2 linked regions of the Cricetulus griseus genome follow. The protein of the gene in region 1 purifies or fractionates together with the protein of each later gene. This does not show direct contact. Links are inferred from orthologs where the notes say so. Each region holds a gene or a part of one and is shown on either strand. Other genes may lie near its edges.

Region 1 (8,198 bases):
CTAGGGTTACACATGCTGCCCTAATACCTTCAGTGATCCTGGGCAAGTGGCTTCCCTCGGTGAGATCCATCCTTGCCAATGCCCACAGTAATCACGAGCAGCACAGTACACACAACACCCAGGAGGCACATGGCCTGCAGCAATACACACTGGTACTGCTTGCTAATGAGGAGGAGGTCAGGAGCCCCACATCAGTACATCAGCAAAACACAACAGGCCAACAAAAACACATGGAGGTCCTGGAACCTACCGTCAAAGGCCAACTGTGATCATAATACCCCACTTTTCTGGATTGCCCCCTGCCCCTCCCCTCCATTCTTAGGTCCTTGACCATAAGACCTCTAAGAACAGGACCCTCCAAGAATAAAGAATGGTTCTGTCCTAGGGAATAAGTAACTTCCATGAATCCACAGAGGAAGATAGTTCCATGCTCCCTAACTCTGAATTTCATGATTTCTTAGTATTCTGGCCACCGTAACCCCTTCTCCTCTGGAGCAGAGCTATGACACTAAAGGGAAGCTATACAACTTGCCCCAAACAGGCTGACACTCAGAGTTCCTCTCTGTCCCCCACAACCCTTACATCCTCTCAGGTTCTCCAGACAGGGAATGCTCACCTGGCACAGCGGACCCAGTTGATGTGCTGGCTCAGGGAAAACAGGAATCTCTGGCGGTGAGTTGACCACACCTTGACTGTCTTGTCGTCAGAGGCTGTCAAAAGCGATTGGCCATCACTGCAGAAGTGGACACTCCTCACTGTGGCCGTGTGTGCTCGAAACACGGTTGACTCACCTTTGCTATGAGGATAGATATCCAGACTCAGGAGATTCCTAATAGTGACATGAGGACCTACAAGTACACCAAAGTTCTCTCTACCTCTCTAGGCCTGACTGTCCCAGTCTCCCCAGAACAGCAAGAGCCTCCCCAACAGAAACAAAGTGCTTCTCTCCCACCTCTCCCCTTGTGGGAGTCCTTTCATCATAAGGAGACAACCCCAACTGAAGCCCTCTGCTAGCCTCTCTCAGAGGTCACATGTCCCACTGTGACCAGCTCAAAGCCAGGGTAAAGACCCAAGGAGGGACAGCTCTTATACCAAGTCCCTCAGCGTTGTTAGTCCCTTGAGGCCCATAACTCACACATTGGGTATCCAGATTCGAACAGTCTTGTCTCGGGAACCTGAGGCAAGCAGGTGTCCTGATGGGGAGAAGTTCACACAAGTCACAGCGTCCTTGTGGCCCGTGAAGCGGTAGGCACGTGACTGGGGCTTCATGTGCCAAATCATGAGGCATGAGTCCATGGAGCCGCTGGCTGAGGAGAGTGGGTAACACGATGATTCTCAGACCTCAAGAATCTTGATCACCTACCACATTGCTAGGAATACAGGAGAGCAGGCCCAGCTCTACCTTCACAGCATCCCCAGCAGAGCAATGGAAAGAATCCCAGTGGGAGTGCCCACACCCTATAACTGCTGACATACAGTTTGGAGAGCTAGGGCCTGGCAGTTTTCCATGCCAACATAGGAACCAGAGTGACAGGCCATTCACATGCCATTTCTGTACTGTGGGGTCTCCTCATTGATACTCTGAGAGCACAGGGCGAAGTCCTCCCAATACTCAGGAGCCAGTCAGACAAAGGTCATTTACTATTGAAAGGACCAACTTGGTTGGGGCTGGAGAGATGGTTCAGCAGTAAAGAGCACTTGCTGCTCTTCCAGAGGATCTGGGTTCAATTCCCAGCAATCACATGGTAACTCACAACAATCTGTAACTCCAGTTCCAGGGAAGCCTATGTCCTCTTCTGGACTCTGGGGGCAACAGGCACACTTGTGGTACACAGACATGCATGTAGGTAAAACATTCATACAAATAAAATAAGACAATCTAAAAATAAATTAAAAAAAAAGAAAGAACAGACAAAAAAATGACTTCAGTTCCCTTTTTGCTTACAGCAAACCATTACACCAACAGCCTCTGGCAGGAAACCTTAACAATAAGATAAAGAAGCAAGCTGGGAAGTGGTATAATACCAGGACTTGGGAGGCAGAGGCAGGTGGATCTCTGTGAGTTATGAGGACAGCCTCATAAAATGAGCCTCATAAAATGAGCTCCAGGACAGCCAAGGCTACACAGAGAAAACCTGTCTCAAAAAACCAAAAACAAACAAAAAAGATAAAGTGGCAAGCCTAATCCGTGGAAAAAGAAATCTGCAGCCAGAAAGCTACTTAGGAACACCAGTGTATATAAGAAAGGGACAGCAGTATGGAGTTGGGAGATGGACCTTGTTAACAACTTTCTCACTAGTAGTAGGTACAAGAAAATATACCATATTACTGTGGACAATCAAACTGAAGATTCAAGGAAAAGGAGCCAGTTTGGGATCCCTGCCACAGAGCAGACCCAAGAAGTGGCCAAGATGTACAGGGGAAAACCTAGACCCTAATCTCTCAAAGGATGCCTGACCAGCACAGAGCCTGCATGGGTCTGCACCAAGGCCTCTGTATATATATTACAGCTTCCAATTTAGTGTCATTATGGGATTCCTGAGTGTGTAGAACAAGTGTGTCTCTGATTCTAGTGCCTTCTTCTTGGGCTCTTTTCCTTGTTTTGTTTATGCAACTCTAATATGAGAGTTTTTGTTTGATCTTAATGTATTTTATTATCCCTTAGAAGCCCGTTCTTTTCTAATGAGAGACCAAAAGGGAGTGGATCCAGATGGGAGGAGAGGTGGGAAGGATCTGCCAGGAGTAGAGGGAGACAAAACCATAACCATGATATATTTTGTGAGAAAAAGAATCTTTTGGGGGGGGGCTGGAGAGATGGCTCAGAGGTTAAGAGCACTGACTGCTCTTCCAGAGATCCTGAGTTCAATTCCCAGCAACCACATGGTGGCTCACAACCATCTATAATGAGATCTGGTGTCCTCATCCAGCCTGCAGGCATACATGCAGGCAGAACATTGTATACATAATAAATAAAAAAAAACTTAAAAAAAAGAATCTTTTTTAAAAAATAATTTATTTAACTTTATTTTATGTGCATTGGTATAAAGGTGTCACATTCCCTGGAACCAGAGTTACAGATGTTTTAAACTGCCATATGGGTGCTGGGTCCTCTGAGCCATCTCTCCAGCCCCCGAAAAAGAACCTTTTTAATAAAAGGCATAAATAAATAAATAAATAAATAAATAAATAAATAAATAAATAAATAAATGCTGTATGACCCTGACAGGGCTCCTAACATCTCTGAGCGTTATACTCTTCTCATGCACAATGGGGCTTATGGAACCTAGTAAGCCCAGTGTTCAGAAAGCTGACACGGAGAAGCAATACAAAGGACCAAACAGCATGTCCTTGCTGTAGCCTAGCGTTGGCATACCAATACTCCCAGGGAGAAACTCAGCCTTCTCAGTTTAGAATCTAAAATCTTAGACAAGATAGATGCCTTCTCTTACCCAGCTGCTTAGTGTTGAGACTGAAGTCCACACTGGTAACTGCATCTCGGTGGCCCTTAAAATGCCTCTCCAGTGAGGGGTCCTCCTGAGGGAGAGAGCAAGGTCAAATGGAAAAAGCCTGAGGAAGGGGTTTCTCTGGGACCAAGACTCTTCCTATAACTAGATTATGTATATAACTAGTTGATATATATGTATATATATCAAGGATATAACTTGAGTGTTTTTAACATCACACACACATATATACATACATATCTTGTTTTTGGAAATCCTAAGGAATTCACTATAAACTATTAGAATAAATGAGCACAGCAAGGAAGGGTACACAATCAACAAATACACCATGAACAGACAGATGAATCAATAAATCCACAACAAATAAACCAAATATGGGCCAAGTGAGGTGCCACATACCTTTAATCCCACTCAGGAGGCAGGGCAGGTAAATTTCTGTGAGATCTAGGCCAGCCTGGTCTACACAGTGAGTTCCAGGCTAGCCAAGGCTAAATACAAGACTTTGGGAGTTATATCTCAGCCATAGTAAGTTATCTTCCTCCACCTCAAGCATCAAAAACTTCAAAAAACAAAACAAAAAACAAACAAACCCCAAACATTTTAGGAGCTCCGAGGAACCCAGTTTGGGAAAGGGCATTCCTAAGGCATAGCAAAGCCACTGTTACTCCATAAACCTGTACACAAAACAAAGGTGAGGCACAGTGCCCAGCTCCGCCCCCAACACACCTGCAGGACCACGCCTTTTAACAGATGGAGTGGTAGTTAGGGGCAGAGAGGACGGCCTCCAACTAAGCAGCAAGTGCCCCATTCTGCCTCCTGTCCTCACCTGAGGACCTCACCTCTTGGAAAACTAAGGGCAAGGCAGTGCCTATCCTAGGCTCAGTGTGCAGAAGAGCACCCCTTCCGGAGGCCCTCTTCCCTGAGTAGTTTCCTGCATGCCGGCCTCCTCTCCCCTAAAAACAGTGTGTTGTTACGGATGTAAACAGAATATCAGATTGCCAGTCAAGAGTCTGTGTTCTATTTTTGCCCAAGTCTTCAGATGCGTCAGGAGCCACCGGCTACCACCTGGCCAGAGCACCAGGAACTTTGGAAGCAAACTCTTACTTAAAACACCAATTTGGAGTCCTTTTCTGCACTGGAAAAGGGGTCAGGGTCGGACCCAGGTCATACCGCAGGCCTCCGACACCTCAGGCATCCCAATGGCCTACTGCTTCCACTGGTTGGAAAAGATGCCGCCTCCAAGTAGACGCGAAGGACAGGAGAGGATGACGAGGCTCACACTGGTCCGGGGCCACGACAAGGGTCGGGCCTTGCTTGTGTCTTCCTCTCTAAGCCGTAAATCCCAGAGACAGGGACTTGTTTGTTCGCCCGGGTGGTCCAGCATTTAGCCTGGCACTTGGGGCGATGGGTCAATGCCCAGCCCCACCCCGACCTTAGATGGAGAAGCAACCCCAGAACCCCGCGCCACCACCCGGTCCTCTCGCGGCCATTGCTCCAGGCAGCTAGGCGCCCATTCTCCAGGGACTTACCGGGCTGGGACCGGCCATGGAAGGGTTGGCAGGGCTGGCAGAACCAAAGGCACCCCAAAAACCCGAGGTAGCTGCGGCGGCAGTTGTGCCAGTTCAGTTTCCGCGCCCCCAATCGCCGCCAATAGCAACGCCGGTGGCGTCGCCGCGTCCCGCCCAATTAAAGGAAAAGAGCCCTAGGTTTTTGCCCGTCGACCGGAAGTAGGGCCGCTCTACAGGCGCCACGCTCTCTTCCTCCAATTCCGCCAGATGAGGTGACCCGCCGAGCAGCCAAAAGCTTCAGTTCGCCGTCACTCCTTCCGTCTGAGAACTTAAAAAACCCTAGAAGAAGGTTTCGTCCCTTCGGCTCATCGCCTAGCTCGGGTAGCAGAGAGCGTAGCCTTTCGGGAAATGAAGTTCTACATAGCACTTACCCTACAATCTTAATAAAGGTAGAACTACATTTCCCGAGATGCCCCGGAGTGGGCGGAGCTTTAACATTCGGAGTGAAGGCCTTAAGGATCCCGGAAAGAGGCCACTAGTGCTGTCTTAAAGCTTCAAGGGCGCCATTGAGAACCTTAGTCATTCTCCCCTCTGGACCACAGAATGGTTCGTTCCTCCGAAAGGTCTTAAGTGTCTATTTAAAAGTACTGGAGTCATTCAGAATCACAGCCATGGAGTAGTGAGACCTATGTTCAATTCTTAATTCTCTACTCGTTTTACTGGGTGGCCTCAGGAAAAAGATATCTACTCTAAGGGCAGTCTCTCATTTTGTCCTAAAAGTAAATGTGATTACAGCCCTGCCTTCTCAGAACTCTTCAGCCTTGAGAAGCCTTTACATACTCTGTCTAAAAAAAATTAATATATGGGCTGGAGAGATGGCTCAGGTTAAGAGCACCGACTGCTCTTCCAAGGGTCCTGAGTTCAATTCCCAGAAACCACGTGGTGGCTCACAGCCATCCGTTATGAGATCTGGTACCCTCTTCTGGTGTGCAGATATACATGGAAGCAGAATGTTGTATACATAATAAATAAATAAAATCTTTAAAAAAAAAAAAAAAGAAAGTTAAGCCGGGCATTGGTGGCACACGCCTTTAATCCCAGCATTCGAGAGGCAGAGAGGCAGGCAGATCTCTGTAAGTTCGAGGACAGCCTGGTCTCCAGAGCGAGTGCCAGGATAGACTCCAAAGCTACACAGAGAAACCCTGTCTCAAAAAACCAAAAAAAAAAAAAAAGTGTAGTCTGGGGATAATCTAGAGAGAGAGAGAGAGAGAGAGAGAGAGAGAGAGAGAGAGAGAGAGAGAGAGAGAGAGAGAGAGAGAGAGAGACGCAATCCTCCGCCTGGCCAGCAGAGGCCATCCTTTCTCACTTCCCTCAGTGAAAGCCGAGAAGGCCCTTAGTGACCTTTTTTCCACCTGCGCTTTCCAAGGGAATCTTCCCAACATGCACCTGACCTGAACTGTATGCTTTGTAAGATTCAAGAACCTTCCATCACCTATCCTGAGCAAGCCAACTTGTTCATACTCCAACACTAATTAGTGTCTGGATGTGTCCTGAGGTTTCTTACCACATGCCTAGACTTGAGACTGTGTCCCTAAATCTTCAGGGACAGTAAACTCAGGAAACTGTCATGTGGAGAAGTGTATTTGGACCTCAAAGAATGATTCATTGGCTAAGAGTGTATATGGCTGTCACAGGGGACACAAGTTCTATTCCCAATACCTATGTCAGTTGGCTCACAACTGCCTGTAACCCCAGTTCTAAAGCAATTCAACACCTCAGGTCTCCTAGGACACCTGTACTCACATGCATAGACACAAAAAATATTTTTAAAATATCTTGAGGAGAGATGCAAGAAGTGGATATATATCTGATGCTGTTTTAACAATGTTGGCATAGAATTGGTTCCTTTAGGTTAGAAATATTTAGGCCAATTTAATATAGACACTGTGAAATTCCCAAGACAAAAATAGTTGATCACCTACACAATCTGCTCTGGATTGTTCAGCACTGTTCAGAGAACAGTTTCCCAGTCTCCCCATAACAATATTCAGTTGTTCTCTTGTCTGTGTCATGAACACACCATGCCAGAAACATGATGGACACATCTGAATATTTCTATAATGTCAACATGTATTGAACAACAATAAATTCACAAGCTATGTCACTTTGTTGTTGTTTTGTTTTGTGAGATAGGGTCTCTATCTTATACTGGAACTTACTCTGTAGACCAGCTAGCCTCCCACTCACAGAGCTCCCCCTGCCACTTCTTCCAGCAGTCCACAGGTTCTTTTATTTTTACTTTTTAAGATTTATATGAGCTGGGCAGTGGTGGCGCACGCCTTTAATCTCAGCACTTGAGAGGCAGAGGCAGGAGGATCTCTGTGAGTTCAAGGCAAGCCTGGTCTACAGAGCTACAGAGCAAGTCCCAGGATAGGCTCCAAAGCTACACAGAGAAACCCTGTCTCAAAAGAAGAAGAGAAGAAGAAGAAGAAGAAGAAGAAGAAGAAGAAGAAGAAGAAGAAGAAGAAGAAGAAAGAAAGAAAGAAAGAAAGAAAGAAAGAAAGAAAGAAAGAAAGAAAGTCTTTATTAGCTGTCTGACAACTACACTGGGCGTTTGGGATCCCAGTGTAGCCCTGAGCCTTTCTCAGGGAGAGCTTTAAAGCACAAAACCATGTTCTGGGTTGACATTCTTCAGTTAACAAGAACAGTTAACCAGAAGAGGAACTACAGAAGCCAAATAGCAAGATTTAATCCATTTAGAGACTTCTCCAGAACTGTGGACTTTAGGCTTTTGTTTTAGTTTTGGCAGGTGGGGCTATTTATGTGCTGAGTTTTACAGCCTGAATGGTACAGTACTTCTGTCATGAGGTCTGGAGCCCTGTTACAAGAAGGGTCTCATGTAGCCCAGACTGGCCTCTTGACCACTACATAGCTGAAGACAACTTCGAACTTCAGATGATCCTGCTTCCATTCTGGGAGTATAGGCTTGTACTATCATGTTTGGTTTATACAATGGTGGGGATTGAACCCAGGTATTCATAAATGCTAGGCAATCACTGACCCAACTGAGCCCCATGATCCCAATCTTAATTGCTAAGATTAATTCAGATCTCTTACTTTTACATAACAATATATTTGTAAATGTATGTGTATACATAAATATATGCACACACAATGTATTACATAGGTTACAAAATGACTACAAAAGAATTTAAGAGGCTACAGC
Region 2 (7,554 bases), on another chromosome or scaffold:
GGTTGGCCTCAAACTCAGATCCACCAGCCTTTGCTTCCCGAGTGCTGGGATTAAAGGCGTGCACCACCATGCCCAGCATGAGATCTTAAACTAAAAGCCCACTGGGGAGTGGCTTGTAAGATCCAGCCTCAGTTCTCGCTGAGTCTTCCTAGCAGTCTACCAGTCCTGAGCTATGAGATGGGATTCTAACAGACAGGTCTATCAAGTCTATCAAGATTCTTCCTATCAAGATCCATCCGCTTGGAAGTACCAAGGACTTAGGAGTTTTGTGCCGGGAACCTGGGACAAAGACTTGGTTTCTTTACTGTAGCTCACGTCCACCTTGCGGGTGCAGGGTTTCTTTTTCTTCCCTAGAACTACACTGTAGATAGACAGAAGTGGTTTCTCTCTGGCGCTGTCAGTTCTTGGTCATGCCTATACCTATGGACCTATCATTGTTCTACCTCTTTCCTTTATCTGGAGAAGCTTCCCATCACTCACTCTTTGCTTCTGTGCAGGAAGAGCCCATGTTTCTGCTTTCAGAATAATTACTAGTATGTTTTCAAGGTGACTCACGAGGTGGGTTTTTTCTCTACTCATTGCCGGGCGTGGCGGCGCACGCCTTTAATTTCAGCACTCGGGAGGCAGAGGCAGGCGCATCTCTGTGAGTTTGAGACTAGCCTGGTCTACAAGAGCTAGTTCCAGGACAGCCTCCAAAGCCACAGGGAAACCCTGTGTCGAAAAACCAAAAAAAAAAATCTCATGGGCTTGAGTAAACATGTTCCAGGGTTGTTACCAAGTCAATCAAGAGGGATATCTGTTACAGGACACAGGCTTGTTTTGCTTTTGATCCTAGCATGAGCCTCCCTATCAGGCCCCGTGTAAACTGCTGTCAACTTCCATCTTGGGAGTTTGTCAGGCTATTGTCACCTTCTTCCCTGATTCCCTCTACCTAGCTTACTTAGGTTAGCCTTCCCTGCTTCCTTTGTTTATAAATGTTTGAATAGATATACTTCCTAGTTAGCAGCTTAATGAAAGGTGTTTTGTACTGCCGGGTGGTTGTGGTGCATTCCTTTAATCCCAGCACTTGGGAGGCAGAGGCAGGCAGAGCTCTGTGTGTTCGAGACCAGCTGGTGTACAAGAGCGAGTTCTAGGACAGGCTCCAAAGCTACACAGGGAAACCCAGTCTCAAAAAAAAAAAAAAAGAGGTGTCTTGTAAAATTCCCCTGCGTTCAGAAAAATGGTTGAACTGCTACAAAGAGAGGTATCATCTGTCTCTGGAGGGCATGGGCATAGTCGTCATGATGCCACTCAAGTGAGGAGGTGCTGATGGCAGGGTGAGGTGCAGGTCAGGGGCCTTGTTCTTCACAAGACAGGGAATTTGACTTGGTAAGAAACAAAAGGTGCCCTGAAAGCCACCTCAATGGGGCAGGGCTAGCCCTGGACCAAACAAGGCTGTCCCAAGTAAAGGAAGCAACAATAGTAAATGAAGAGCTGTGGAAGTTACTAAAAGAAAAAGTTGCATGAACACACACACAAACGCACGCACGCACGCACGCTCGCTCGCTCGCTTTGCAGGCCAGATAGAAGGACCTGGGCAGAGGCTGAGCGCATAGGCTGCGTGCTAGGAAGTAGTGGGCCATTCTGTGTAAGGCTGGTACCAGGTGGGTCTTCATGGGTGACTATTTGCTCTGGCCTTGGTCACTTGGATGACAGTTATCACTCAAAATGAGGAGCTTCCTAGGAGAAAGTTGCTGGGGTACTGGTTTGTGGGGTGTGGGAGTGTAGCAAGCTTCCTTGTCTGACTATCTTTGGATTGGCAGCCTCCAAGTAAGGACACAGAGACTTAATATTAATTCTGAAAGCTTGGCCTTAGCTTAGGCTTTTCCTTAAGTAGCTCTTAAAACTAACTTAAATGAACCTGTCTGTATTAATCTACATTTGTCATGTGGCTCAGTCACTTCTGCTCTGTACCGTGTGTCCAACTTAAGAGTTTCCCTGGCATCTCCCTGCCTCTCCTTCCTAGAATTCTCTCCGCAGAATTGCTGCATATTCTCTCCTGCCTAGCTATTGGAAATTCAGCTCTTTATTAAACCAATCACAATGACACGTCTTCAGTGTACAAATATCCCACAACAGGTAAGGGTGGAGAGAAGCCATGTTGGTTCTGCCTGTTCCTTAGGTAAAGGCTGCTGGCTCTGTATCTCTCCCATCCCAACTCTAGGCATATCCTTGCTGAGAAATCTGGGGCCTGTGGGGCAACTTGAAAGTTGAGAAAGGGCAGGAGCCAGGTATGCGGCTCTAACACAATCTGGGAAAGGGAGACAGATGGTGGGGTAGGCAGGGCCAAAAGACAGAATCAACAGGACACTGTCTCCCTGAGCACCCTGACCAGATGATGCATCCCTCTGTGGTCCACTGCTACCCTGAGTAACCTGAGCATCCCTCTGTGGTCCACTGCTACCCTGAGCATCCCTCTGTGGTCCTTTGCTTGTCAAGTGTTACTAACCCTGAGAGTGATCAAGGTCAGGCTCTCGGCCTTTCTTTGGGTTAGGCATAAGTGGCTCTGCAGTGTGCCCTTCCAGACTAGGAACCATTCTTATCCCCATCAGTTCTGTTAAGAAAACACCTGTGTTCGCCGGGCGTTGGTGGCGCACGCCTTTAATCCCAGCACTTGGGAGGCAGAGGCAGGCGGATCTCTCTGAGTTCGAGACCAGCCTGGTCTACAAGAGCTAGTTCCAGGATAGGCTCCAAAGCCACAGAGAAACCCTACCTCAACCCCCCCCAAAAAAAAAAAAAAAAAAGAAAAAAGAAAAAACACCTGTGTTCAACCCACCAGGTCCAGAATACCTCACTCTGTCCCGCCTGCCAGCCTGTGGCTCCTAACCCTGTGTCAGTGGCTGAAGCTTGACTCGAGACCTCTACAACCTCTGCTGCATAGGCCACCTCTAGCCTATGGTGGGAGGGGACTGGCAAGAAGGGTCAGAGGCTGTTCTGGTTGGCTTTGACATTGCCTGGTGGCTCGTGTCTGTCCTCTTTTAACCTCCAGTGGCTAGGAAGTAATAGGACAAGTGGATTGTGACATGATTTATGGGGCTAGAAGAGGGAGGGCCCTGTTCCTGTCCCTCCTTGGCCAGTGATTGTCAAATGGCTTGAGTTCAAGGTCCCCCTGATTAGAAACTGGGGACAAGGCCCTTTGGTGGAACAGTCTCTTGCAGTTGCTTCATGACCTGTTTCTCTCCTCAGCAGCATGGCCTCTGAGTTCCTTGTTTCTTTCACTCCCATTATTACTCCTTTTTAAAGAAATAGTTTACTTATTTTATTTTATATGTATTGGTGTTTTGCCTGCATGTATGTCTGTATGTGGCAATCAGATTTCCTGGAACAGTTGTTACAGACAGCTATGAGCTGTAACGTGGGTGCTGGGAATTGAAATCTGGATCCTATAGAAGAGTAGCGAGTGCTCTTGACCACTGAGCCATCTCTCCAACCCCCGTCATTACTCTTAAGCTTGCTGGCACTGTGGTGTCTTCTTTGCTTGCAAAGTCTGAAGCTATCTCAGTGAGGCATGGGGCTGGGGATTGGAAGGGAGGGTCACAGATGAATGAGTCTGGGGACATTTGACAGAACCTTGGGTATAGGAGACTTCTGTGACTGCGCCTCCTTCCAGCTTAGGTGCAGACGTGCTTGGAATATGGTTCATTGAGCACTGATCACGGGGTGGTTGCCCTGGGGACTCCTTAGGTATGCACTTTGTATGAAGTGTGGGTGGCCACAGAGTTGCAGTAGGGTCTGTTCAGAGTCGGCTAGAGACATTTGAGCTGGTCCTGGAGACTGACCAGTAAGACAAAGAGCTCATTCTAGGTGAGAACAGCATTTGCCGAGGCTGTGTTTACAGAGAGACTGAGATGACTCAGGTCGTTCTTCAGACCTGTGGCAGGTGCTAGGTGGGGAGTCCTGGGTGGCAGGGAGGACATCTAGCAGGTCCTGGGGTTAAAGCATCATGGGATACTTGCTCAGTGGACATGAAAGAACTTGAAATTGGAAGTTCTCTGTTTAGGAAGGAAAATAGATTCTTCCCTTGGGAGGGGAGGGGTCTACTTGCTGATTCTGAGTGTGACTTTGAGTGCTGCCATCTGGGGCAGAGAGACAGCCAAGGAACAGGAAATGTAGACCTGGGTGCTAGGGCAGGCTTCTTAAAGGGACTGAGCTTGAGATCTGTTTGTAACAGAAGCAGTACCAGCACCCTCCTCACCAGTGCACAGCTGTGTACCTGGCACCAGTTGCAAGGCAGAGGTGAGCAGGGCTTTGTCCCTAGGCCTTAAGACATTGTCCCTGCTCTGATGTTTCACTGCCCTCCCCAGCTCATCACGCAGACCTTTAACCACCACAACCAGCTGGCACAGAAGGCTCGGAGAGAGAAGCGAGCTCGGCAGGAGACTGAACGTCAGGAGAAGGCAGAGCGGGCAGCCAGGCTGGCCAAGGAGGCCAAGGCAGAGACTCCTGGGCCGCAGATCAAGGAGCTGACTGATGAGGAGGCCGAGAGGCTGCAGCTGGAGATTGATCGGGTGAGGCCGAGTGTCCCTCCTCTGCCCCCTCCCTGACTGCATCAGTCCTGGGAAGTAGGGCTCTGTTCCAACTGTGTACCCTTTGTCACAGAAAAAGGATGCAGAGAATCATGAGGTCCAACTCAAAAATGGCAGTCTCGACTCACCTGGGAAACAGGTAAGATAGACCTGGCACCAGCTTCCTCCCTTCAACGGGATTCTCTCCTCCCCTCTCCTGCCCCCAGCCTTGAGGACTCTTCCCAAACATTGAAAACAGAACTAGTGTGGTGGTCCACACCAGTAATCTCAGCATTTAGGGAGCTGAGTCAGAAAAATTGGTGTAAATATGGGCTATATAGTGAGAACCTTTTTTTTTTTTTTAAATCTTATTTTATGTGCTTTTTTTTTTTTTTTTTTTTTTGCCATGGGTGTCAGGTTCCCTGGAACTGGAATTACAGGCAGCTGTGAGCTGCTATGTGGTTGCTGGGAATTGAACCCAGGGTCCTTTGGAAGAGCAGTCAGTGCTTTTAACCACTGAGCCATCTCTCCAGCCCCCGAGAACCTATTTCAAAAATATTAAAATTTTTTTTTTTTTTTCTTCAACCCAGCCATAGTGGCACGAGCCTTTAATCCTAGCACTCAGGAGGCAGGGGTAGGCGGATCTCTGAGTTTCAGGGCAGCCAGGGTTATGTAGAGAGATGCCGTTGATGATGGTGATAATTTTTTTGATGATTGGCCTTAATCCTGGGACAAGAAAACCCACAAGTGGGCTGAAAAGTGGTTAGGAGCATTTGTTGCTTTTGCAAAGGTCCCAGGTTTGGTCCTCAGCACCCACATGGTCACAACCATCTCTAACTTCAGTTAGATGCCCTCTTCTGTACTCTGTGGGTGCCAGGCATGCACACGGTACACATGCATACATGCTGGCAAAATATCTCTGAAAACCGCTCACAAGTCAGAGGGCACCAGGAAGGGTGGGCTGAGGGGCGGGGCAGTGAGCTCTGCCATATCCTTTCTCACAGGATACATTTCAGGATTGGTTTTTACCTTTGGTTCCCAGTGACCCAGGGTGTGTAGGTGTGCAATGCTTAGGTCTGCTCTCTTGTGGCTGTTGTGTCCAGTGGCAGTTCTGGGCCTGGCCTGGTGGAAGTCTGGTCTGTCAGGTAAGTCATTGAGCACCTCTGACTGTGAGCAGGATGCTGAAGAGGAGGAGGAGGAAGATGAGAAGGACAAAGGGAAGCTGAAGCCCAACCTGGGCAACGGGGCTGACCTGCCCAACTACCGCTGGACCCAGACCCTGTCGGAACTAGATCTGGCTGTGCCCTTCCGAGTCAGCTTCCGGCTGAAAGGGAAGGATGTGGTGGTGGACATCCAGCGGCGGCACCTCCGGGTGGGCCTCAAGGGGCAGCCGCCGGTGATTGACGGAGAGCTGTACAATGAAGTAAAGGTGGAGGAGAGCTCGTGGCTCATTGAAGACGGCAAGGTGGTGACGGTGCATCTGGAGAAGGTACGAGAGGCGCTGCCTGGCCAGGGTGCGGACTGACTTCCTCTGACAGTGTTGCGGGCCTTCGGGGCTCACTCCTCACTCCGCCCTTGCTTTGTAGTCAGGAAACAGCTTGGATTCAGCTGTGTGGCTTGCTTAGGGCAGGGCAGGCAGAGTCAGGTCTTCTGTGTCAATCCTGTTCCTTCCCATCATGCTTGCACGTGGGTTCAGTTCCACACATGCTTGAACACCTACTGTGTGCCAGGCACTGTTCTCAGGACTGGAGAACAGTGAACAGATGGTAGAAGAATTTGCCCTCATAGAGTCCACATTGTCTTCCTAGAGGTAGGGTATTTACTGGGGTAAATAAAGGTGGTGTCTGCAAAGGGCCAAGAGTCCAAGCTTCCCCTGGCACAGAAGGTGACTCGGCTGCTGCTCACTCTGCCCTTGTACGGGGTTTCCTCCCAGCCAGAGTCTCCTTTCTTATTTGCTCTTTTCCCTTCCTTCTTGTTTACTGCTAATACCTTAAGTTACGCTAGCCTCTCCTCCATGGAGTGGCCACGGCACACTGGCTTGCCCTGATGCATTGATTTGTAACTGCTGGCCTGTGTCTTCCCCTGGCTGCTGGGTGGATAGAGGTCCAGATCTTCTGTACCCTGCTCCCAGCACAGGCCTGCATGGGGCTTGGATACAAGATGTGGATGGGAGGAGTTTAGTTCTAAAGGGATTGAGGTATAATTCCTGAGTCACAGAGCTTTGTTTCCCCATTGGAAACCTTCCTCCTCTCAGATCAATAAAATGGAATGGTGGAACCGCCTGGTTACCAGTGACCCCGAAATCAATACCAAGAAGATTAATCCTGAGAACTCCAAGGTGCGTCCCGGTTGGCTGGGAAGCTTGTTGTGAGTCCCGGTTGGCTGGGAAGCTTGTTGTAGAAGTTGAGGGCTAGTTGGTCCAGTGCTTGCTTCATCCCTCTCCCTGCCTCTCTAGCTGTCAGACCTGGACAGTGAGACTCGCAGCATGGTGGAAAAAATGATGTATGACCAAAGGCAGAAGTCCATGGGATTGCCCACCTCTGATGAACAGAAGAAACAGGAAATCCTGAAGAAGTAAGTAACTCAGGGTCAGGGAGGATTGCTCTGGGGACTTAGGCCTGGGAGATAACAGTGTGGTAATTAATATCTTGCTTCTACAAATAAAGCCCATCTGGGGGTCAGAGAAACAAGGTATCACCAAATACTGAATGGGACTCTAGACTGTCCTGTCCACTTCCAGCACAGCCAGCCAAGTTCATGGTTCTGTGGCCTTGGCTTGCCTGTGCTGACCACCTGCCAGGGTCATCTCCAGGACAAGGCTACCTTAAGAGTAGGAAGCAATAGGTAAGAGGTGGTCATTGCCACCTACTGGAAACTGGTGCTACTGCTGGCCCGTCCCACTCCCAGCCTCGAGGGCTCAAACAGGCTTCAGCTATCTGAGGCCCCATGTGGCTTAGCCCAGTGTTTTCAGGGTTCTGAGGAGGTTAGGCCCAATGTCAAGAATAGAAAT

Evidence for each region.
Region 2: the proteins of Poc1a (region 1) and Nudc purify together in Homo sapiens (co-immunoprecipitation; 3 studies listed by BioGRID and IntAct, with this or other methods). This does not show direct contact. The link is inferred for Cricetulus griseus from reciprocal best matches to the Homo sapiens genes POC1A and NUDC.

The regions. Positions count from the first base shown.
Region 1 is NC_048597.1:214,481,542-214,489,739, reverse strand, and holds the start of Poc1a (POC1 centriolar protein homolog A), read right to left. Parts: upstream 5,387-8,198; 5' UTR 5,012-5,386; coding exon 4,994-5,011; intron 4,793-4,993; exon of another isoform or gene 4,635-4,792; intron 3,535-4,634; coding exon 3,450-3,534; intron 1,308-3,449; coding exon 1,136-1,307; intron 849-1,135; coding exon of another isoform or gene 797-848; coding exon 617-796; intron 1-616.
Region 2 is NC_048595.1:19,729,237-19,736,790, forward strand, and holds part of Nudc (nuclear migration protein nudC), read left to right. Parts: intron 1-4,343; coding exon 4,344-4,547; intron 4,548-4,638; coding exon 4,639-4,704; intron 4,705-5,721; coding exon 5,722-6,033; intron 6,034-6,798; coding exon 6,799-6,882; intron 6,883-6,999; coding exon 7,000-7,118; intron 7,119-7,554. UniProt on the Homo sapiens protein: Plays a role in neurogenesis and neuronal migration. Necessary for correct formation of mitotic spindles and chromosome separation during mitosis. Necessary for cytokinesis and cell proliferation.